Bombyx mori: one gene and its partners. The protein of the gene in region 3 binds, or shares a complex with, the protein of the main gene of each other region. Links are inferred from orthologs where the notes say so. Each region holds a gene or a part of one and is shown on either strand. Other genes may lie near its edges. The genes, in order: LYR motif-containing protein 4; adrenodoxin-like protein 1, mitochondrial; NADH dehydrogenase.

Region 1 (5,636 bases), on a different chromosome or scaffold from region 3:
GGCCTCTCTGCGGACATCAACATATTCCAGTTGTGGCAATAATTACCGTGACCCTACGATTTTCATCGACCCGTAAACCTGGTCGACGCCAGATGTTTATCTGTTAATTCTCACCAAACCATTAATTTGAATACGTACCTTTAGATATTTGATTATTCGCTTTGTTATAAACCGGTATGTACATAAGCACACAGAACAATATCACCGCTGAACTAAACAGGAAAAATTTGGCCAGGATGCTGAAGGTGGACCTCTTTTTGACTTCTTCCTTGACGCTCTTGACATTCGAGTACTGCGTGTAGTTTTTGTATTTTTCATGTCTGTGGTAGAATTAAAGCACTGTAACTGGGCTATGTGACCGGTTTGCATGGCTGAGCATCTGAATAAGATAAGATGAATTCATAGTTCATCTTATGTTAAGTGGTAACTACAGATCATAAACATATACACAACATATATCGCAAAAATACAAGAACTTGTAGTATATATGTAGAATCATATTATACTCTAACGGTAGGCAGTGACTTGGATGCCATTCATTAGCTACGGTAAGCACTCACTATTACGTGGATGGTAAGAGAATCGGTCTACAAGGGCAGTAAATAACTTTTTAATTTTAATTTTAAAATAAGCACAAGTAAAAAGTAGTTAATAACTGAAGTTTTTAAGAATACATTATTAACTTTGATAATTCCATCTCATGTCTTTCTCAGTTGTTTAGGGTTTACAGACTCCTTAAAATGTCAACGAATGTTAATTTTAATAAATAATAGTTTAATGCAACTTCTATATAAAAGAACCAGTAAGATTTAATACATTTCAATTAATTTTAATTACCTGTAAGACAATACAGGACTCTCATCGCTGTGCACGTGATATCTTTCCTCATCATGCCAATTCTTGTGCGATGGTGAATATTCCATGAACTGAAATCAATAATTTAGTAGCCAGGATGGCAGATGGCTCATGGTTGCCTGTTTTAATCAGCAACCACAGGGGCCACACAAGAAATCAGAATATAAAGAGCACAAGATTCCTTGAGATATGAGGATTGAATTACAAATACATTAATATTAAACTACTTCTTATATAATTACTTTACTTTTTTACTATGGATAATATTTAATTTAATTTCCATTGCAACTTAATTAATGATATTCAATTTTCATCATTAATTTGTTTTTTATTATTATAGTATCTGTTTAGAATTTTAGATTTTAACCTGATAATTATTTCAATGACCAAGCGAAATAGTCTCTTTATTTCTTTTTAGTTTTGAAAATTGTTTTTAAAAATTAAAGTTAATATTAGGCATTTCATGGTATGTAATATTTGTGTTACATGGTATGTAAATTGTATTCCTTTGCTAACTTTCATAACTTGACATAACACATATTAAGTGATTTACATACAAAACATGTTTAGTAATCATCTTCCGCTAAGTTACACAACAAAATGTGCAGGCAAGTGAATTTTTAAAAATGGTCTAGAAATCCTAACTTCTTTGACAAAAATATGACAATTTTCTTCGCTAGTCTTGTAAACAAAGTACTTTTGTTGTTTGTTTCCTTTGGATAATTTGGTTAAAATAATTTAAATTTCATCAAACTTTTAACTCACTGTTTAATTTAGTAAGTACCTATATATGTCTTAGAATGACGGCTGACGAGCATAACAATATTTGAATTTGTAATTATCAGATCGCAAATGTTATTAAAACATCGGGAATGTCAAATCAGATGTTACTGACGTTAGACCAAATTGACAATGTACACTTTTCGGTATCCTGTAGTGTAGCTAGACAAAGGCTACTTAAATTTACATCCTTACTAGTGTAAATTGTGACTAATAATCAAAGTCGAATTGAAACTTCTACCCAGACGCGAAACTTACGAATTTACCTTCTTTTACATTTATTATCACAATTCAAAAGTTTTGCACGATAAATTTATTTTATAACAAATAAAGGTTTAACACCGTGTAATACGGAACGTCTAATTTTTGTTTACATAAAAAAACTGGAGTGTAATGTCATAACTGGTCATAACAATTCGTAAGACAAATATCATTGGGTATTACCTTTTATCAATATATTATAGTTTTTAATAAGCTTGTCGAATAATAAAGCGAAATGTCTGGCGCGATACCTAAAATACAAATATTATCTCTCTATAAATTGCTTCTCAGAGAATCCCAGAAGTTCCCTAACTATAATTTCAGGTAATGTTTTGCACCATTATATAACCTAAAACAAATGAAAGATTTACTCCAACGTTACTAGTGAACACAAAAGCATAATTTTGTTACCTTCTTAAATTACAAACAAAGTCAATACATTTTTAATTTTGTCATGATATGTGGCTACCAAATTCTATTAGGCTTAAGTAAATGTATTTACTGGTGGTAGGACGTCTTCAGAGTCCGCACGGGTAGGTACCACCACTCCGCCTATTTCTGCCATGAATCAGTAATGCGTTTCGGTTTGAAGGGGCTGGGGCAGCCATTGTAACTATACTGAGACCTTAGACTTTATATCTCAAGGTGGGTGGCGGCCTTTACATTGTTGATGTCTATGTGCTCCGGTAACCACTTAACACCAGGTGGGCTGTGAGCTCGTCCACCCTTGCTATAAAAAAAAAGCGAAAAAAATGAATTTCAACGCAATCAAAAATTATCAAGCTTGTTTGGAATCAATTATTTGGATAATAATTGAAATGAGTCAGGTAAATGGAATGATGAATGTGATATTAATGCACTTCATTAATATTAATTACTCATTATGATAAGTAATCAACGAGTTTAAATTAGCACTGTGAGGGGCATATAGCTCATAGAAAAAATGGTCACTATTGCAACTCTACACCAAAATCTGTAGTACAAGTAATCCTTCCAGAAGGTAGACCCACAGTATGTTGAAGTTGTGAGAATCTGTCAGATTTGAACAGCTTAGGATCAGTCACTGTGGTGAAGCTTGAGGATGGCCTATGTCCAGTAAAATTATGTAGACTGATGATGATGCTATAAATGATTATCATTTTCATGCATTTAAATTGTTATTTTAGTTTTTTAGGCGGACAAGACACATTTTAAGCAAACTTAATTAGATAATTAAATAAAAAAATCAGCCTCAATTAATAACTACAGCATCAGAGTTACAGTAATTAAAATGAACGAGATTTTCAAAGCCTCAATAAATTATGAATTAATTAATCAACAATTTATCAAAAAATGCTAAATTTTAACCATTCATCCTTTCAGAGCATACGCACTAAGAAGAATTCGAGATGCTTTTAAAGATAATAAAAATGTGTCTGATGTTAAGATTGTGAAGAAAGAGTTTGAATTTGGAAAAGAAAATTTAAATGTTATCAGGAGACAGGTGTGTGAATATGTTTCATTTATGTTATCAAACACATGTGATAATTAGCTTATATTTTATTTAGAAAAGTATTATATTTATATCTTGGTTTCCTTTATATCACATCAGTTAAGTGGTAACGGTAGTCTATAAACATTACAATGGGAAATCTGCCACCTTTTGCTTTTTACAATTTGTCCTTAGTCTTATTGCAGTGCATTTTGCAGTGTTGGTCTTCAGGAGCAGGAAAGGAGAACCAATTTTCTAAAATTTCTATTAATGAAAATAAAGTATACTTCATCCCTACTGTGATGGGTTTGAAATGTTGATTTGATCAAAATATTAAACAACTGATCTTTTTCTCATTCAAATAAGAAAATGTGGTTGCCGAGCTGAGCTGAGAGAGCTGGGAGAGATTATGGTACCAATCTATTCAGGCTCACTCTGGTAGTTTTCCAATTACAGCACAAGAGCTCATTATGCGGCATAATGCTCAACGTTGAATGTTCCAACTGCAGCAACTCGAAGCACAATTGAGCACTCTCAAAAGTACTGCTCTCGCGTGATACTCGCAATCGATACCGACTCAGTGACAGAAAATTGACAAGTGTTTTTTCTTTAAGTTGGCATTGATCGAAATTTTGTTTATATTATCGTTAGTAATATTATTTAATGTTGAAAAAAATTGTAAGGCTTTCGTTTCGTCGTAGTTTCTTAGAAATAATCAATGTTAATTAAGACTGTGCTAACTTAGCGCACTCTGCTGATGCATTTCAAAACTAATTCACGTTCCAATTAAGCTTCAGCATAATTTGGCATTGTGCGTCACTGAGTCGCATTATGCTCTGTAATTGGAAAACTACCACTACACCCCACCTCTGATCTAACTGCACTAAAAGGTTAAACTATTGTGATTAATTCATATATGAAATCATCTTGTTTTACAGGCAGCCATTGGAAATATGTATAAAACAGAAAAACTTGTTATCGAAAATCTGCGGTAGCTTCATGTTTATAATTGTATATTATTATGAAACATCTGTAATGTATAATGTACATTTGACTAATAAATAGTATAATGCAGAGTTTTTTATTCAAATTAAATCTGTAGGGGTCTCAGAACTTTCATTTAAATAATTATAATTGGTTTTGTTACTAAAAGTACAATTAAATGTATATGTGGTATGCATATACACAGGTATGCATCATAAAATAATTTAACCTAATCGAATGGGAGAAGGTGTGATAATTAAAGATGATAATCTAACTTTTTTGGAAATACTGGAAATAGGCTGTGTGCTGATGTTGACTTGCAGTTATTATAAATTAGACTCTTTCCGAGGTCCGTATATAAGGTACTAAAGAGTTTAGCAGAGAATGGCCAGTAATGGCATTTACTGATGATAAGGAGTAACGTCAGTTCCACATTGCCTATTTCTGAATTGAAGCAACCATGTGTTGCGGTTTGAAGGGTGGGACAGTCATTAAGTAGTACAACAACAATTGAGAAACTATTGAAGAATCAACTTTACTATTTACAGAATTTTAATTAGTCGCGTGTGTTAGTTTTTTATTTACATACTCTACGAATACATAAGATGTCGTCGTCGTGGCCTAATGGATAAGACGTCTGGGTGCATTCGTGTTGAGCGATAGTACCGGTGTTCGAATCCCGCAGGCGGGTACCAATTTTTCTAATGAAATACGTACTTGACAAATGTTCACGATCGACTTGCACGGTGAAGGAATACCATTGTGTAGTAAAAATCAAACCCGCAAAATTATGATTTGCGTATATCTCATGGTAAACTTGTGATTCCGCACGGGTTCGTACCACTGCCCTGCCTATTTCTGCCGTGAAGCAGTGATGCGTTTCGGTTTGAAGGGCGGGGCAGTCGTTGTAACTATACTTGAGACCTTAGAACTTACACCTCAAGGTGGGTGGCGCATATACGTTCTAGATGTCTATGGGCTCCAATAACCACTTAACACCAGGTGGGCTGTGAGCTCGCCCACTCATCTAAGCTATAAAAAAAAACTTTGTGACCCTACGTCCGAAGATATTTGAGGATTTTATTATAGCTATTTTTATTACCATTTTTTAGTTTTTACCATACTTGGCGTCATTTTGCAAGCGAGCCTGCGACTTACTACTGATTATCTCGACCCACGGTTTTTGAAAAACCACTGGGTCTTAGCTATTGCGTTCGTAAATTAATTATATCTTTTCTGAGATTGAACTAAGTTTAAAATAAAGGTTGACTAAATGAAGTCCGTA
Region 2 (5,373 bases), on a different chromosome or scaffold from region 3:
CTACCACTCTACCTATTACTGCAGTAAAGCAGTAATGCTTTATGGTTCCAAGGGCGGGGCAGCCATTTTACTGTAAATACTAAGACTTAGAACTCATGTTCCAAGGTGAGAGTATTAAGGTGGTTAATGTCTAAGGGCTCTGGTAACCACTTAACACTGGGTGGGGCGTGAGTTTGTTGATTTTTTTCGTTACATTGATCTAAGAAATATAAAAAAGTGTTGCAGTGTAAAGGGAATGTTATAAACTAAGGATTATAATATGCTATCTGTGCCAGTCTTTAATATATTGTAAGAACAATAAAATTGAGTATCCATTGTAATAGCTTGCCTAGGCCCTTGACGTTTTTAATGAACAATTCATGAGCAACAGTGACAGCTCCCCACAGAATTAAATGTGAATTAATGTTGCAGAAGACCGCCCCAGAACTAAGGGAAAGCAAGATAAATAGGTTAAATACTTGAAAGTATCTCGTCCATCATTGTATTTTAATTTTAAAACACATTTAGTCCTAGGACTATGTAATATAAGTTACACAACTGGACGTTTCATTTACGAACACAATAAAAACTTGAAATCTGAACTATTGTGGGAAGAAATGCAAATCGAGCACTTTGTTGTTTTCCACAAGAGATTTATGAATAACATTACTATATTTTCCAAAACAATCAATTTCCTATTACTGTTTAAAGTACATAGTCAAATATATTAACGATTTTAGTTTACATTTTTTTACGACATAAAATAAGTGACCAGTAAATAATAATAAAACATACTATCCTCAATTTATAAATATTGATTTCAGAGGGTTAAAACAACGTTTTCTAAGAATGTAGAACCTATCGCTCAAATTTAAAGGCGCGAATGCCGAATGCATTAAACACGTCACTCACCAAAAAATAAGAATATATCAGCAATGTTTTTCATTAAAAATCACGTGTTGTTGTAAGATTATCAGTAATAATCACGCATGTTTGCGTAAAATGATCATATTTAACATTTTTTTTAATTGAACTACCTAAGCCTTTATCATAAAAATCAATATTTTATTATCAATTCATTAATATTTTATACAAAATGGCCTTATAGTATAGAAGTCATCATATGATTGACGCTTGAATAATATGACAATTATGACATTTAATTTTTATTATTGCAAGCTTTACAAAAAATTGCTAATTAAACCAAAGGGTTTTGTATAGAGGCGACTGCTGAAATGTTACAGCTTAAACTATTAATTCACATAGAAGTTATATGTTTAAAATTAATACGTCACTAGCATTTTGGACAGAGAGAGTGAGCTTGTGTTGTTTTATCTATCACACTGAAATCTCAATCTTAGGTTAAACTAAGAAATCAATTTTATTATTATTGAGAGGAACGAAGCTTATCGTCTTAAAATATTTTGGACAGTGAAGTTTTTATTCAATCACGTTTTGACCTTTGCGAGTTTGTTGACGTATCACGTACCGGCCGATGTTATGTCAAACAACGCAATTAATATATAGTATTTAACATGAAGTGAGAATATATATGTACCTATGTATATTAATTTAAATTAAAAAAATTGGATTGTAATTTTACTGCTTTTTTTTAAGGGATTTTATGACCTGGTAACTAAGACTTTTCAGTCATGTCTTATTTTAATTAATATTCTTCTTTTTATGAAAAATGATAATATGGGGTGAAATGAAATGAATTCAAGATGATTAATTTAAGACATTAATCAACTGGGATGAAATTAAATGAAATGAGATGATATGGGATGAATAATCTCAGTAAAATGGTGGTCATTTACTGAGATTTTTTCAGTGGACTTTTTGGAGGATCCCGAGAAGTTACGTCCAGCGGCTTTGTTTCATTTTCCCACATTTGTGCACTTTCACAGATATTAAACAGTTAATAAACCACCGTTATTACACATTTAAACCTGAAGAAACACTAAATAGACAAAATAAAACAAACACACAACTTCACTACTCACGTTCCCGCCAAAAAGTCCTTTAATTTTTGCGGGCTTTCTTTCATCACAGACTATACCTATAAATCAATGGTAGTAGAGAGCTGCCAAAGGCTAAGTATACCTACCTATGACCTACACTACAATCAGCCACAGACTGATATAATAATATCAGCTGACGACAGTCAATAAGTCTCTATTGTCCACATATGTCAACTTCATAGGTAGGTACCTACCTACACCTACTGACTGAAAAATATTCAATGTACATAACCAAAAACCGAATTATTTTATTTTGATTCGAAGTTTTCTCAACAAAGGCACGTTGTGTATCATGCTCCAATTATCAATTAAACGACTTATCTCGTGTAATAGACTGAGTGATTTGCGACGATCGTTTATTGTACAAAACAAGAGAATTCACACTACGAATCGTGAGTATTTACATAGCGTTATATGTTTAGTGCTGACAACAAGAAATATTAATTAAAATGTTATCGGCAGATTTAAAACACGGAGAATACGAATGGCAAGATCCGAAGTCTGAAGATGAAGTGTGAGTATCGCCACAAGCGAAATCTGAAAGGAATTTTGTTACATATATTATCTAGAAAATCTAAAGAGTAGTTACAATTGAAAACCTTAAACGGGGCCTTGATCGAATCAAAACAAAACAATACCATTCTTATTTTTCATATTTTTTATACTAGTTTTTTTGAAATTTCAGTTTCTTCAACAGGTTATGATTATATTTACTATCTTCAGTAAATTAAAAAATTATGTACTTTATATACTAAACACAAAAAAATAAACAAGCTAATAGAATATGATATAATTTTTGTTATGTTTTCAGTATTCATAGATATAAATTTAAAAAATGTTTATATCTAGTAAATATTATTATATTGCATTATTAATATACTAAAGTCATACATTATTAATATACTAAAGTCACACATACATTTTAATATGATTTAAAAGGAAACATATTTTATTTATGCATGAGATGAGATTAAAACTTGTTTTTATAAATGTAGCCATAATAAGTTTATTAATCAAGCTACTAATTAAAGCACAGATAATAAAGGTTATCTCTTGTATAATATATGTGTAAATAGGCAAAAAAAGAAGTACCCTTTTTCTCTTCTGTTAGTTAAGAAAAAGATTTTCTTTGTTTAATGAACAATGGTGTAGATTGCATGGCTATGTTAATCTTCAAATTGATACAAGTACTTAGAGAAATTGGCAATACATGGTGCTAAACATCACTAAAGACTTTGTGTAAATCACATAGTAAATCTAAGTTTCTTTTTTTTTGTTGCTTATATGAGAGGACAAGCTCACAGCCCACCTGGTGTTAAGTGGTTACTGGAGCCCATAGACATCTACAACGTAAATGCGCCACCCACCTTGAGATATAACTTCTAAGTTCTCAAGTATAGTTACAAAGGCTGCCCCACCCTTCAAACCGAAACGCATTACTGCTTCACGGCACAAATAGGCAGGGTGGTGGTACCTACCCGCACGGACTCACAAGAGGTTCTACCACCAGTAATTTAGGAGCCAGGACCTTAGGAACCTTAGAACTCAAGGTGTGTGGCGCATTTACGTTGTAGATGTCCATGGGCTCCAGTAACCACTTAACACCGTCTGAGCTCGTCCACACATCTAAGCAATAAAAAAAAAATGCTTCATTTGTTCCTAGTTATTATTATTAATAATTTATATTTCAGTGTGAACGTTGTATATGTTGATAAAGATGGAGTTAAAATAAATGTTAAAGGGAAAGTTGGTGATAACATTTTATATTTAGCACATAGATATGAGATTCCTATGGAAGGTTTGTAGTGTTTTACTTCAATTATTATTGTTCTTTCTATGACACGGTATCATTCAACACCATAATCTGAATCCAGCCAGTCAAGTTACAATAATGAAATTAAAGTTTAAAAAAAGATTACTTTGTACCTTACATGTTAATTGTTTTGTCCAGTCCAGTAATCTCTTAACACATAACATTAGGTATGCATGTGGGCTTTGGATAATTACTCACAATAGTATAGTAGTATACGTCCGTCTGGTGTAGTGGTAAGTGACATGGTCAAACGGCCGTCTGGTGTAGTGGTAAGTGACATGGTCACTACACAAGGGGGTCGCGGGTTCGAATCCCGCCAAGGGAAGATATTTGTATGATAAATATAAATGTCTTTTCCAGGGTTATGGATGTATATTTAATATATTATGTATGTGTATAATAAAAATCTTACATTTATTTCCCTTATCTGGTACCTGTAACACAAGTTCTTTACGAACTTATCACGGGACCAGTTAACGTGGCGTGATTGTTAGTAAATATTTATTTGTTAGTAAAATAGTATGTATCCATAAGTTAACCATACTTATTAATTACAGGTGCATGTGAAGCTTCATTGGCGTGCACAACTTGCCACGTATACATTCCTCACGATTACTTAGATAAGCTCCCGCCATCGGAAGAGAAAGAAGATGATCTGTTAGATATGGCTCCGTTTCTCAAAGAAAATTCTAGATTAGGTACACATTCTAATAGCATAAGTAAGCAAAAAGAGCGCGCCGTGTACGGGAATTATAGTCTAGCTTTTCTGATGAGAATGTATGATTACTTCGCGGCAGAAAAGCCAAGATGGTAGTACCTACTCATGTGGACTTACATACAGAATGGCCCTAATAAAGGGTGTGATGGTGGAAGTATTCGCATTGTAATGTTCTGGATCTGGTAACCACTTAACACTAAGTGGGCCGTAATTCGTTCACCTGTCTATGCAATAGAGAGTGGTAGCATGTTAATTCTGACCCTTTTCAGCGTTTAGTGTAAAGTGTTTAACGTTTTACTAGATAAATCGCAATATTTTTTATTGCTTAGATGGTTGGACGAGCTCACAGCCCACCTGGTGTTAAGTGGTTACTGGAGCCCATAGACATCTACAATGTAAATGCGCCACCCACCTTGAGATATAAGTTCTAAGGTCTCACTATAGTTACAACGGCTACCCCACCCTTTATACCGAAACGCATTACTGCTTCAAATACCAACTCGTCATTTTGAAGGATAAGGATAAGGATGACCCTCCGCACTCCCTCAAGATAGTGAGACAGCACAGCTTTTAATTTCATTACAATGAGTGCAATTTAAAAAAAACAGTTGTAAAGTTTGCATTTGCCTCCTTTTTTCCCATTTTTTTTCTAGTATTATTTAGATACTGGGCCCAAATCTGAGGCTGCCAATCCAAGTAATTTTTTTTTATTTGCAGGTTGTCAAATTGTTTTAACAAAAGAATTGGAAGGTATGGTAATACAATTACCGAAAGCAACTAGGAACTTTTACGTGGACGGACATAAACCTAAGCCACATTAATTTTAAATACTGGTGGTATTA
Region 3 (4,471 bases):
TAACTCTAGTTCACTGTAGAGACTCTACCAGTGACTTAACTTAGATGAATATAATTGGTGGATTGCAGAATCAAGCAGGACAAAATTATAATAAGGCAATTTCATTTACTTACTGGACCTGCCCTTTTAGTGCTCGTTACTGTGAAGTCTGGGCAGAAGAGTAGATCCTGCAAGATGATGATGAATCATTTACTAAAAATTTAGTAAAGTAGTTATGGATTATGCTTGACCATAAGCTCAGACAGACATCTTTCCGACAACTTATTGTTTCTCATATCCCCTCATGGATAAATGTACTCTATTTGATATGCTGAATAAACTCACTAGACTTTATGTAATAAGTAGGCTAGTAGATTGACTAAACATCACACAACCAAATTAAAGTACCAAGTACCAGGATCATGTACAGATTACTTTACATGACCAAAATTTTCCTAAGTGTAGTATTCCTACTAATCCACTATTTTTATCTTTCTACTGTTTTAATGGGCTATGTAGTTTATTATTAACTAAAACCCAAATATAGATAAATGGGAATGTGAGATTGAAATATCTACTAACACCAGAAAATACTTACAAGGGTCTTATAAAATTAGCAAAATAAAGCAAACATTCCCTTACACAAACGGCATTTATCAGTGATTGTGCTAATGGTACAGAGTCATTCTCAGCTGCAGCCGGGAGCGATGACCAAAAGAAGCTGTGCCACTCGGGTTCCTCGAACATATATGGTAATACTCTGGTAAGAAGACGTGCACAGTTCAATGCTGAAAGAAAGAAAGTGCACAGTTCAATGCTGAAAGAAAGAAAAAGTGATTTTTTCTTTACAAACTATTGTATTACTAATCTGTATGGTATGGTCTTGGTCAAAATTTTTATAGTATTTTTTAATTGTTATTTTGAGAAAGAACTTGAGACAGAAATATTGTTTTCAGCTGCATTTTGATGATGTAGACCTGAGAGTGGACGAAACAATTGTGATACTTTTTTGGGCAAAAAAGGTGTTCAGTAAATTTCTCACCGATCAGCTGTTCTCTCTGCGTCCTACAGCTGCTGTCCACGACCTTGACGAGTTTTTCCACAGCCTTGTAAACCAGCGTTGCTAAATTATTAGGAGATTCCTCGCGCAAGGCACGTATCTCCGCACCGGGAACCAATGCGAATACATCTTGTACGTTGGTTACGCTCTCTGACCAGAACTGATCCCAGAAGCTATCGTCCAACGCATCTATAGGCTGCAAAATACATAAATCGATGAAACTAGACTGATTTTTATTTCATTATTTTTCTTCGAATTGGTGCTCAATTACCTGCGACTTTGAAGTTAACTGGACAACCGCCTTTCGAAAGTTTAATTTTGTGTCAGCATTACCCATCTTGTCTTTTATTATTTAATTTGAAAACAATAACTTCATATCAACATACGTTCACACAAAACAATAAATTAAAAAACGTCACTTTTGGCACAGAGTATTTACTTAGATCTATGACTTATATATTCAATGACTTATCTATGAATTAAGTTAGAATCTACTACTATATAGGTCTATGGAATCTACACGTTCATTTTGTCAATACATTAACTAGCCATCAACAGTAATCAAAAATGACATCATTACATTATTTTATGAAATTGTCGATAAAATTTAAGAAAATGTAAAATTTAGTAGCAGTCTTCATAATAAGTTCGAAATTTCTTTTAGGTTTTTGAGCATCAAACACCAAGTAATGTGGATCCATTTATGTCTTTCATTGTTTGAAATGAGTTGAATGAATTGATTAATATATGTACCTAGCTGGTTCTAACGCCTTTACATATACCTATATAGTAGGGACATCCTATATAGTAGGGATAGTAGGACAAATCCATTTTTCGGTCGGAATCGATTGATCATGACACCTACTGCTTAATGGCAGAAAGAGGTAGGGTGGTGGTATCAACCCGTGAGGACTCACAAGGCGTCCTACCACCAGTAATTACGCAAATTATAAATGCGGGTTTGATTCTTATTACACGATGTTATTCCTTCACCGTAGAAGTCAATCGTAAATAATTAACTGTTTAGTAAATATTTCGTTGGAAAAACTGGTACCTACCTGCGGCATTTGAATGCATCGCGGGCATCTTATACCTTAGGCCAAGACGACTTCAATAAATTAAATTAACTCTGTTTTGAAAAAAATAAATACCTGTCTGAGCTAAATGTTTTGGCTCTTTATGTACCTATACGTGACAGCTGACACAGTTTATCGATTGCAGTTGTATTAAAGGTTTTGGCAACCCAGGCTTTCGGATTCGATGAGAGAGAATTGCTGAAAGAAAATAAAGCATTTCGTGAGCTTGAAGAAATGGCTGCTGCGAATATTTTCCGAAGTGCTTTCGGTGGTCTATTACGGAGATCAACAACGTATAGAACGTCCGTAACATGTCGTCTTTCGACCGTTGCGTTGCAGCAAAAGTTCAGCACAATTAAAGCCGCTGTCAAAATATACAAAAGTCAGGCCCTTCAGAATGGGGTAAGACTCTTATCTACTGATATAATAAAATGCATTTTGGGCCGTATAGTGATCATTATATTACAATGAAATATTTCCTTAACATTATATTATTATAAATTTCTCGAGTCTGTTTTAAACAAAATCAATATAACCTCAATTATTATTGCATAACAAAATTACAGTGATAACTCGAACTGTTTAGGTACCACAATCACATCGGTACTCGACAGGCGTGCAGTCTAAGCTTTCGGTTCAGGAAATCGAGGAGCGAGTCCTGAAAGTGTGCAAGGCTTACGACAAACTCAGTGCTAGTCAGGTACATAATATTCATTTAGAAATATTTTGTTTCAGAACGAGAAACATGGTATCCGCAAGTACAGCGGTGGCCCTCCCCTCACCTTAGACCTTATAAAAAGTAGAGTACTGCTTGTACTTCAACTTTATGACAAAATTAACCCTGAACAGGTTAGATTGTGGAAATTTTATTACAGTCAGTGCAAAACTGGTGGGGCATAAAGTTTTATTCTAAGATAAAGAAATATAAAATAATTTTTCTCTTATTTTTCAGTTGACTGTAGATAGCCACTTCATGAATGATCTGGGTCTTGACTCACTGGACCATGTTGAGGTCATAATGGCAATGGAAGATGAATTTGGATTTGAGATACCGGATGGTGATGCAGAGAGACTGGTCAGACCAAAAGACATTGTCCAATACATTGCTGACAAGGAAGATATTTATGAATAATAAAAAAAATATAAACTTCATAATTTTGGACCAGTTGTATTTTTGAAACGATAACAAACCAAACACAAAATTGCATTTTCTTAATTTACAACTGGCCTAAAAGTATTGTTTAGTGATTAGACAACTTTTGTTTTAATTTTACACAAACGTTATCAGTGCACTTCAGACCATTGTGTAAAAAGTGTAAGTTTTGTTTTTAATTATATGCCTGTTAGAATAGATCATTTGTATTTCATTTGATCTGGTGGTACATTATCTGATAATAAAATAGTAAATAGATCACATTTTATTTCATTCATAATTCATGCTAAATAAGCATTTGACTCGAGAGTCCCTTTTTTTTAAAAGAGAAAATGCCTTAAATCTGTACTATTATTTGTCATTAATTTTTATTGATTTTCAAAACTGCTGGAGTATTTTGTATTTCAAGGTGGGCTATGTCCTATATGATGGTAAGTGGCTACCATTACTAATGGATCTTGACAATGACACACATAAAGCTACTAAATAAGAACTTATTTCAAACCTTGTTTGAAGAAAGATGTTGGGTGATTATGATGGGACATGACATGAAGGACAGCAGTGCATACTTGATAACATTGCCTTCCTCTTGCCAGAATATTGGCAATTGCTAACATGCCTGGAGCAGTGATCCTGTTTTTCCAGAAAAGCCAGGTGAACTCAGGAAGTCACTCAAACAATAAACTTAAGCATGCTAGTACTCTTGAAAGACAAAATTTTCATTAAAATACCAAATCTTAATTAGTTTTATACTATCTTATAAATGACAATTTCATATAGATTCTGTGCCCTGCAGAGTAGATGAGCAGTGGTGTTCAACTTAACTGATCATAGATTGTAGCATAACACAGAAATACTGAAATATGGCATCATTCGTTGTGATTGGTGTTTAGCTTCACTTGGAGGAAAACTATTTTCCCAAAAATGAAGTCATGATTTTGAAATCACTTTTTTTTAAAGCGATGTTTTTTGAATGAAGTTAAAAGTCATTGTCTGATAATATTTCATTAAATAGGTCAGGGTTTAGGGTATACCTTTTCTAGTCTTATGGGTTTTTTTGTACCTTTAACAGGAATATAAAATAATATCATACAATAGAATAGAATCATCCAATAAAAATAAATATTTTATCTCTAGTACTAAATCGCTGTTCCTATTTTTATCCATATATTATATATAATAATTATTATTTAATTTTATCTT

What was found.
Region 1: the proteins of NADH dehydrogenase (region 3) and LYR motif-containing protein 4 are in contact, whole or in part, in a crystal structure (PDB 6ODD), measured with the Homo sapiens proteins. The link is inferred for Bombyx mori from reciprocal best matches to the Homo sapiens genes NDUFAB1 and LYRM4. Residues at the interface, in NP_004994.1 of Homo sapiens: Lys92, Asp111, Ser112, Leu113, Asp114, Val116, Glu117, Met120, Glu123, Asp124, Glu129, Ile130, Asp132; in NP_065141.3 of Homo sapiens: Arg6, Leu10, Ser11, Tyr13, Arg14, Leu17, Arg18, Lys21, Arg37, Phe40, Arg41, Lys44.
Region 2: NADH dehydrogenase (region 3) and adrenodoxin-like protein 1, mitochondrial share a complex: the UniProt entries of both Homo sapiens proteins name them as parts of the mitochondrial core iron-sulfur cluster (ISC) complex. The link is inferred for Bombyx mori from reciprocal best matches to the Homo sapiens genes NDUFAB1 and FDX2.

The regions. Positions count from the first base shown.
Region 1 is NC_085108.1:8,216,152-8,221,787, reverse strand, and holds LYR motif-containing protein 4, read left to right. Parts: upstream 1-1,896; 5' UTR 1,897-2,131; coding exon 2,132-2,220; intron 2,221-3,258; coding exon 3,259-3,379; intron 3,380-4,305; coding exon 4,306-4,362; 3' UTR 4,363-4,443; downstream 4,444-5,636. Other genes in the region: uncharacterized protein LOC101737726, read right to left, coding at 139-320, 838-923.
Region 2 is NC_085130.1:1,948,145-1,953,517, reverse strand, and holds the start of adrenodoxin-like protein 1, mitochondrial, read left to right. Parts: upstream 1-2,091; 5' UTR 2,092-2,292; coding exon 2,293-2,392; intron 2,393-2,462; coding exon 2,463-2,514; intron 2,515-3,691; coding exon 3,692-3,798; intron 3,799-4,370; coding exon 4,371-4,511; intron 4,512-5,248; coding exon 5,249-5,352; 3' UTR 5,353-5,373. UniProt on the Homo sapiens protein: Electron donor, of the core iron-sulfur cluster (ISC) assembly complex, that acts to reduce the persulfide into sulfide during [2Fe-2S] clusters assembly on the scaffolding protein ISCU.
Region 3 is NC_085114.1:14,895,285-14,899,755, reverse strand, and holds NADH dehydrogenase, read left to right. Parts: upstream 1-2,297; 5' UTR 2,298-2,349; coding exon 2,350-2,517; intron 2,518-2,701; coding exon 2,702-2,815; intron 2,816-2,850; coding exon of another isoform or gene 2,851-2,964; intron 2,965-3,067; coding exon 3,068-3,247; 3' UTR 3,248-3,529; downstream 3,530-4,471. Other genes in the region: protein HID1, read right to left, coding at 114-167, 622-767, 1,022-1,235, 1,311-1,376. UniProt on the Homo sapiens protein: Carrier of the growing fatty acid chain in fatty acid biosynthesis.